Saccharomyces cerevisiae S288C: one gene and its partner. The gene in region 1 interacts genetically with each later gene. Each region holds a gene or a part of one and is shown on either strand. Other genes may lie near its edges. The genes, in order: AAP1 and IDP3.

Evidence for each region.
Region 2: mutations in AAP1 (region 1) and IDP3 together harm fitness less than expected from each alone (positive genetic interaction), as found in Saccharomyces cerevisiae (one large-scale study listed by BioGRID).

The regions. Positions count from the first base shown.
Region 1 is NC_001140.6:198,163-203,313, reverse strand, and holds AAP1 (arginine/alanine aminopeptidase), read left to right. Parts: upstream 1-2,003; coding exon 2,004-4,574; downstream 4,575-5,151. Other genes in the region: inositol monophosphate 1-phosphatase INM1, read left to right, coding at 5,029-5,151. UniProt on the Saccharomyces cerevisiae protein: Positive effector of glycogen accumulation. May be involved in nutrient-sensing.
Region 2 is NC_001146.8:612,691-616,583, reverse strand, and holds IDP3 (isocitrate dehydrogenase (NADP(+)) IDP3), read right to left. Parts: upstream 1,764-3,893; coding exon 501-1,763; downstream 1-500. Other genes in the region: putative ubiquitin-protein ligase ASI3, read left to right, coding at 1-373; PYP1 (putative phosphoric monoester hydrolase), read right to left, coding at 2,224-2,949; YNL011C (uncharacterized protein), read left to right, coding at 3,414-3,893. UniProt on the Saccharomyces cerevisiae protein: May function in the production of NADPH for fatty acid and sterol synthesis.

The DNA of each region.
Region 1 (5,151 bases):
AGCCCTCTTCGTTGAGCCACAAAGATATCTTGCGGAAATGTGGCTAAAGCAACTTTTGATGATTGCTGGGAAACGGTTTGGTAAACTGCTGAAGCAATTGTTGTACACAATACTTCTGCTTTTGGCCCCATCTGGATTTTTCATTTCCGCTTTTGCCTCAGGTGCAACAATAACTATCTTTGAGCATCGTACCACCAATACAAAAGGATATGATCGTTATCATACAGAATTTTTCATGGATTTTGCATGTTTCGGTATAACTTTACGTAGGTGAATTATTGAAGGGCTTTGTGATAGGTGTGGATGTACCTGCCGTGCGTTGATGACCTTCAACTGATCGGAACAAATTGCTATTACATGTAAAAATCTCATGTATGAGCGAATCTTTTTGTGTTATAGGCAATCACCTAGAAAAGCTTGGAAATTGGTCCTGAGTTTTTTGTTGATGGTAAGTGCATTTTTTTAGTATGAAAGGTTTACGATATTAGCTGCTAAGTTCTCCCTTGCCCTAGTGAATTACGTTTTTTTCGATTAAAAGGGTTGGTCCCGAAATTGACCTCTTATATGTACCTCAATTGCAGATAGCATCAAATTTAGACTACGTCATCAACCAAATTACACCCTATGAAAAACATAAGATTATAAGCATGCGTTTGTGTAAAGGTCATACCATTTTATACGTTGACGCAATGGTGCAAATAGAAAGGTTTACGAAAGCTCTTATTCCGCTTAGCGCAATTCTATTGTTAATTTCAAGTAAAAAGATAAATATCTCACGTCCTTATATTATCTTTGATTAAAATTTCACGATCAATGTAACGAAAAAAGGTCGCAAATATTTCTTTTTCATCACTCTGATTAAACAATGGCATCATGAAACGCTCATTGGATCGTTACACGTTCTCATTGTACATATGTATGATTTAGAACAGCTTGTTCGCCTGATCTCCACCTTATACCCTCATCTTACCGCAGTGCGGTTTTACGCCTCATGTTATTTTTGCCAGCTTTAATAACAACATCAGTAATATTACGTTATTGGATCTTCCACTCCGGTTCGAGGAAAAAAAGAGAGGAGGAGAAACGCATAAGCTACAATAATGAGTGAGTTAACGCTTTAATTTGCTCAGTGATCATTGCTAGCCGGATATTTGTGTTTTTGTAGAACCCAGCCATACCTAATCATCTCAGTATATTATCTGAATTCTTGACTCAAAATATGGATTTTCTCGAACGTCTCACTTCCAATCATCCCATCAAATGCTGTGGATGAAAACATTTAAAACACGGGCAAGAAAAAATGAGTATAGTATAGTTGTGGCCAGTTCTTGTTGTACTAATGCACTTGCTTTCGTATCAAAGTTGAAGAAGCACTGAAAGAACAACAAAAAATTTATTAAAAGCAAAAATCATTCTACGTTCAACGAAAATGTAAGGCAAATATATCTTTATATAGGCAAGCATAACCGACGCTAACTTTGTTCGAGCTTCATCAACGTTATTAATATCGTAGTTATTCCGCTTTGTCTCAATAAGCTTTTGCTTACTTGAGAAAAAGAACGAAGTTTCTGTTTGAGATTTTCCTTCTCATTTTCTTTGAAATTTAAAGGAGAAATATTCAGCTCTATACATTCTTTGTTCGAGTATGTTACACATCACCTTACAATGGGAACATCCTATGATGACATACTTCTTCTCGATGATTTATTTTTTTTCTCAGCAAACGCTGTTTTCTAGGCGGTGAAAAACGGGAGTCTTCATCCCACATTTTTTGAACTCGTTGTGAAAGTTTTTTTTCGTACTCTTGGACTTGGCTGTGGGAGTTTGACACATTTTTTTATTTTTTTTCCGTTTTTTTCCCTTTTGTTAGCGATCAAACTTTTGACTTTATGAGTAATCTTAGCTAATCATTTAGAATTATCTTCAGGGAAGCTTATTCAATTCGTGATTTTTCTTTGAGGGTTCCTGTTCAAGCAAGCCAAATTGCCCTCTCAGCTAATACCATGTCCCGTGAAGTACTGCCAAACAACGTTACCCCATTGCATTATGACATTACACTAGAACCTAATTTCCGTGCTTTTACGTTTGAAGGGTCATTAAAAATTGACCTGCAGATTAATGATCATTCGATAAACTCTGTGCAAATAAATTACTTAGAAATAGATTTCCATTCTGCACGTATTGAGGGTGTCAATGCCATTGAAGTTAACAAAAACGAAAACCAACAAAAAGCTACTCTTGTCTTTCCTAATGGAACTTTTGAAAACCTAGGACCTTCTGCGAAGTTAGAAATTATCTTTTCCGGTATTCTAAATGATCAGATGGCGGGATTTTACAGGGCTAAGTATACGGATAAAGTCACAGGGGAGACGAAGTACATGGCTACTACTCAGATGGAAGCCACAGATGCTAGAAGAGCCTTTCCTTGTTTTGACGAACCAAATTTGAAGGCGACTTTTGCAGTAACTTTGGTCTCTGAATCGTTTCTGACTCATTTGTCCAACATGGATGTCAGGAATGAAACAATCAAAGAGGGTAAGAAATATACAACTTTTAACACGACTCCAAAGATGTCTACGTACTTAGTAGCATTTATTGTAGCTGACCTGAGATACGTGGAAAGCAATAATTTCCGTATTCCAGTAAGAGTTTATTCTACCCCAGGGGACGAAAAATTTGGTCAGTTTGCAGCCAATTTAGCTGCTAGGACCTTGAGATTCTTTGAGGACACCTTCAACATAGAATATCCATTGCCAAAGATGGATATGGTGGCAGTTCATGAGTTTTCTGCTGGTGCTATGGAAAACTGGGGGCTAGTGACTTATAGAGTTATTGATTTGTTATTAGACATAGAAAATTCGAGTTTAGATCGCATTCAAAGAGTTGCTGAGGTTATTCAGCATGAACTAGCCCACCAATGGTTCGGCAACTTGGTCACCATGGATTGGTGGGAAGGCTTATGGTTGAATGAAGGTTTTGCCACTTGGATGTCTTGGTACTCTTGCAACAAGTTTCAACCAGAATGGAAAGTTTGGGAGCAATATGTTACTGACAATTTACAACGTGCTCTAAATTTAGATTCATTAAGATCTTCCCATCCAATTGAAGTTCCCGTTAATAATGCGGACGAAATCAATCAAATTTTTGATGCTATTTCTTATTCTAAAGGATCTTCTTTATTGAGGATGATTTCCAAATGGTTGGGTGAAGAGACTTTTATTAAAGGTGTGTCCCAATACCTGAATAAATTCAAATACGGTAATGCAAAGACCGGAGATTTGTGGGACGCCTTAGCAGATGCCTCTGGCAAGGACGTTTGTTCGGTGATGAACATCTGGACAAAACGTGTTGGTTTTCCAGTGTTATCTGTCAAGGAACACAAGAACAAAATCACATTAACTCAACACCGTTATTTAAGTACCGGTGATGTTAAAGAAGAGGAAGATACAACCATATACCCCATTTTGTTAGCTTTGAAAGACAGTACAGGTATCGATAACACATTGGTATTGAACGAAAAATCTGCTACTTTCGAATTAAAGAATGAAGAGTTCTTCAAGATTAATGGTGACCAATCTGGTATTTTCATTACCTCTTATTCTGACGAAAGATGGGCTAAGCTATCCAAACAGGCAAATTTATTATCCGTAGAGGATCGTGTTGGCTTAGTCGCAGATGCAAAAGCCCTTTCTGCATCTGGCTATACCTCTACTACTAACTTCTTGAATTTAATTTCTAATTGGAAAAACGAGGATTCATTTGTTGTTTGGGAACAAATCATTAATAGTTTATCCGCTCTGAAATCTACTTGGGTCTTCGAACCAGAGGATATATTGAATGCTCTAGATAAATTTACTTTGGATCTAGTACTTAACAAACTTTCTGAATTGGGGTGGAATATTGGCGAAGACGACTCCTTTGCTATCCAACGTTTAAAAGTGACCCTTTTCAGTGCCGCATGCACTTCTGGCAATGAAAAAATGCAATCGATTGCGGTAGAAATGTTTGAGGAATACGCCAATGGGAACAAACAGGCCATACCTGCACTGTTCAAGGCAGTTGTTTTCAACACCGTTGCCAGACTTGGCGGAGAAAACAATTACGAAAAGATTTTCAACATCTATCAAAACCCTGTTTCGTCAGAAGAAAAGATTATCGCTTTGAGAGCTTTGGGCAGATTTGAAGACAAAGAACTTTTAGAAAGGACATTGTCTTATCTGCTAGATGGTACAGTTTTGAATCAAGATTTTTACATCCCAATGCAAGGCATTAGAGTTCATAAGAAGGGTATTGAAAGGTTATGGGCTTGGATGCAAGAACACTGGGACGAAATTGCTAAGAGATTACAGCCAGGCTCGCCTGTGTTGGGTGGCGTGTTGACATTGGGTTTAACTAATTTTACCTCTTTTGAAGCCCTTGAAAAAATTAGTGCGTTCTATAGTAGAAAGGTCACTAAAGGTTTTGATCAAACCCTGGCTCAAGCCTTAGACACTATTAGATCCAAGGCGCAATGGGTGAGCAGAGATCGTGAAATCGTTGCTACCTACTTGCGTGAGCATGAGTATGATCAATAGCTTTTTTTTTTCACGAGCACCTACAACACAAATATATACATATGCCAATGAGTCAAAACCACGTGTAATTAATAAAGAGATTACTACTTGCTTATGTAGAAATATAGTAGCTAGCAGAAAATGAATCTGATAACATCTTCATTGACACATTTCCAAGTATAGAGAACTTTCTTCTGCTTCCTTTCGGAAGAACTGAGTGAATATTGACTGGCGTGCGTCATAGCGAGATTTTTTCATCTGATGATGTATGGAAAAAAAAAAAAAACTTTTTTTTGAATAATGGATGCATCGAGTGACTTTCATTGTTGCGCACGTTGCTTTTCCAAAAATGGTATTAATATAGGTCTTTTATCTCTTACTTCACATTTAACTGCTTGTTAAATAACCCCAGTGTTTTCTTTTTTTTGGATGAATAAGGAAATCAACAGCTGGTACACGCATATACACATATACCATGACCATTGATCTAGCTTCTATCGAGAAATTCCTCTGTGAACTGGCTACTGAAAAAGTAGGACCAATCATCAAATCCAAGTCCGGCACTCAAAAGGATTATGACTTGAAGACTGGCTCCAGG
Region 2 (3,893 bases), on another chromosome or scaffold:
TAATAAGGTTAATGGACCGTTGACTAGATCACAATATGGTAAAAGAAACCCACAAGGTGTACTAGTCGATGTTGTTATTGAACGCCTTCTGCATCATACAAACTCCAGGTATATGTACAAACGTTTAAATATGAAGGACGATGACAAATTAGAGTTCAAGTTTGATTTTGCCTTTGATAGTTGCGACGAAGTGGAGGAAATGGATCTCTCCTGCCTAATCTGCAAAGTTAATAAAAGAAATATTGTAACTTGGCCCTGTAGATGCCTTGCATTATGCGATGATTGTAGGATATCTCTGGGTTATAAAGGATTTGCTACATGCGTCAGCTGTGATAGTGAGGTGAAGGGTTACAGTAAGTTGAATATAGTCTAGAATTATTTTATTAGGTATACGTATTTAAGACATCATAGGAATTTTTTTTTTTGGATATGTTCAACCTCAAGTCTGAACACTATAACCCTAGGCCAGACTTGTCTTTTCAAATGAATGGCGGATTGGTTTATAGTTTGCACATACCTTTCTTGTCTTCATTGGAGCTGAGCATCATGTTTTGAAGCCTCTTGGCAACTTCATCAATAAACTCTTCTGTGGTTACATATGATGATCTATTAGTCTTTCCAAGCATCAATGCTAAATCCTTGGTCATTTTTCCGCCCACTTGAACTGTGTCCAAAGTAGCCTTTTCTAGTAAGTTTCCAAATTTTATAACATCATCTGTATTGTCTAATTTTCCTCTTTGTATAATTGCCCTTGTCCAGGCAAATATTGAGGCTATTGAATTTGTTGATGTTTCTTCGCCTCTTTGATGTTTTCTAAAATGTCTGGTCACCGTACCATGGGCAGCCTCGCTTTCAAACGTTTTACCATCAGGTGTAATCAATATGGACGTCATTAAACCAAGAGACCCAAATCCTTGTGCCACAATGTCAGACTGGACATCGCCATCATAATTCTTCATGGCGATTATAAACCCGCCCTTTGATTTTAGCATCTGTGCTACCATATCATCAATCAAACGATGCTCGTACGTTATTTTTAAAGCCTGAAACTTTTCCTTATATTCTTTATCGAACAAATTATCGAAAATTTGTTTGAACTGATTATCATAATTTTTCAGAATAGTGTTTTTGGTTGTAAAGAATAACGGTAGTTTTCTTTTGAGAGCTAATTCGAAGGATGCCTTTGCGAACCCTTTAATGGAATCATTTGTATTAAACATTGCCATTGCGATCCCACCACTTTTAGGAAATTCATAAACCTTTAAATCGATGTTTTCTTTACCGTCATCTGAGCTAAACTGTAACCTTAGTTTGCCTGCTTTTTTAATCTTGATGTCAGTAGCCCTATATTGGTCACCAAAAGCATGACGGCCTATAATTATAGGTTTCTCCCAGTGAGGGACTAGACGAGGTATTTTTGGAATAATGATGGGTTCTCTAAATACAGTTCCACCTAGGATGTTTCTGATTGTTCCATTTGGAGATTTCCACATTTCTTTAAGGTTAAATTCTTTCATTCTTGCCTCATCGGGTGTTATAGTGGCACATTTGACAGCAACCCCATATTTTAGGGTAGCATAAGAAGAATCCTTTGTTACTTGATCATTAGTCCTATCACGCTCTTGGATTGAAAGGTCATAGTATTTTAAATCCACATCTAAATATGGCAATATCAATTTTTCTTTGATAAGTTTCCAAATAACTCTTGTCTGCTCATCACCGTCCATTTCCACGATGGGATGAACAACTTTAATTTTACTCATTTTAACTTGGACAACTATCTCTAAAGTGTTGCTTGTGTTTACTGCAGGTATGTGCAGGAGAAAGCTTATAAGGGGAACACTCTTATATACGAAGATGCAAAATTGGGGTAATTAATGTAAATTTAAGAATGACAAGAAGAGTTGACTAGTACACGCAACGAAATACTAATCACATTTTACTTTTCCCCTAAAAGAGAGCTCCTGCTTTTCTCTTTACTGTCCCTTTTGGTATGTTTGATTGATTTCTAATTAGTATACTTGAAATATCATTCGTTTTGTATTAAAGATTCGGCATTAAGCATGCTAAATCCGAGGAGGATCTTCCTTTATTTTTTGATGTTCTTTCTCTCAGACAATAAAAAAGATATACAAGAAAAATATAGTACGTACGTATATATGCATACATATGTAAGAGGCAGTTACACGGTATTAAACTTTAATATTTCGTAAGAGTCTTGCACTAATTTTCCATCAATTCAGCGACTGTCTTTTCACCAGCCAGAACTTGTTTCATGCTAGCCAAGATGTCTTTGAAGGTATCGAATTCATGGAATGGGACGTTTTGTTTTTTACAATAAGTGACCAAATCTTTACCTCTTTTGGCAAATAGCAAATCACATTCTTTTGCAGCACTTAGATCAGAAACACCGTCACCACAGTAAAAGTAAACGGGTCTTTGTTCACCTGCTTTCAAGGTAGATTCAAATTTCTTTTTATAAGCATCGATACTTCTGGATTTGTCATGTCCGAAGGGACTTTCATCCTTATAGATGATTTTCCATTGATCATGTGCATCGATTTCCACTTCATTGGAAACAATGTCAATTTTGTGAATAGACTCTTGTCCAACTAATCTGGTCAATAAAACCTTGATAATTGGTTTCATTCCGCTGGAAACAACGATGACAGGGACATCATTTTCTTGAGCCCATTCGAATGTATCCTTGAAACCAGGATCCAATCGAATTTTCTTTTCTAAGATCTTGATACACTCAGGGAAAGGGGTGTGGATGGATTCCAGCATTTCCATGAAACCTTGCCTAAAAGACTTAGTATCATCTAACACGCCTTCGAAGACCTTTAATCTTTTTTCCTTACCGAAACCTAAAGTATCGGTCAGATAATCGTTAGAATCTTCCAAAGTAACGGTACCGTCGAAATCGGTAAAAATAACAGCTTTGACCATTTCCCTTGTATATATATAAATGCTATGTCACTCCAGCTTATGTTATGTGAGCAAGTTTCAAGAATGTGTGCGTTCTGTTGAGATAAACAATAGAGGACACTGTATTTTTTTAATTTAAGATGATGAAAAATTATGCGATAATTTTCGAAAATTTCGCTCATTTTAGAAAAAGAGATTTGAACAGGGTACCATAGTAGAACGATAAAAGAATATGTCGTACAATGTGTTGGGTTGTTGATATCCAATAAAGAGTTTTTTTCAGCGTGTAATGCTTAGATATTATGTGGAAAGTTACTACTGTTGTATTAACCTGTTTCGTATTTCCTAAAGAACGCTAATGTGTGATGTTTGGGTTTATTTCTTAAGCTATTTAGGCGGACTATGAAAGAGAGGAAACGGAATCTTTTGTTCCCTCGAGGTAATAAGGGGACAAAATAGCAGAGTGTGGTGAGATAGTTTACTAGATGAACGTCGTTGTGTGCTCCGGTGGGACTGCCACAAATTCATTGACTCCTTGCTTTTCTAATATTTCTATCTTAAAAGGACATGAGCTGACGTATATATTGCCAATATCAGATAATGGCGGGTCCACAAGTGAAATTCTACGAATAGTTGGTGGCCCAGCAATTGGTGATATCAGATCTAGAATAGTGAGACTACTTCAAGATGAACAGCTTGTCGAGTTGTTTGGCCATAGGCTACCTAATGATAAGTTATTAGCTAAGAAAGAATGGAATGAAATAGTGGAAGGTTCGCATCCCATATGGAAAAATATTTCGATAGAAGTTAAGGAAATGTGTCGTTCTTTTATTATCCATATGCAAGCAGAACTCTTGAAAAAAATCAAACACTCGAATCCATTTCAGTTTGAGAGTGCATCCATTGGAAATTTTTTCTTAACTGGTGCTAGATTGTTTTTAGGTTCTCTAGACGCATCTATTGAA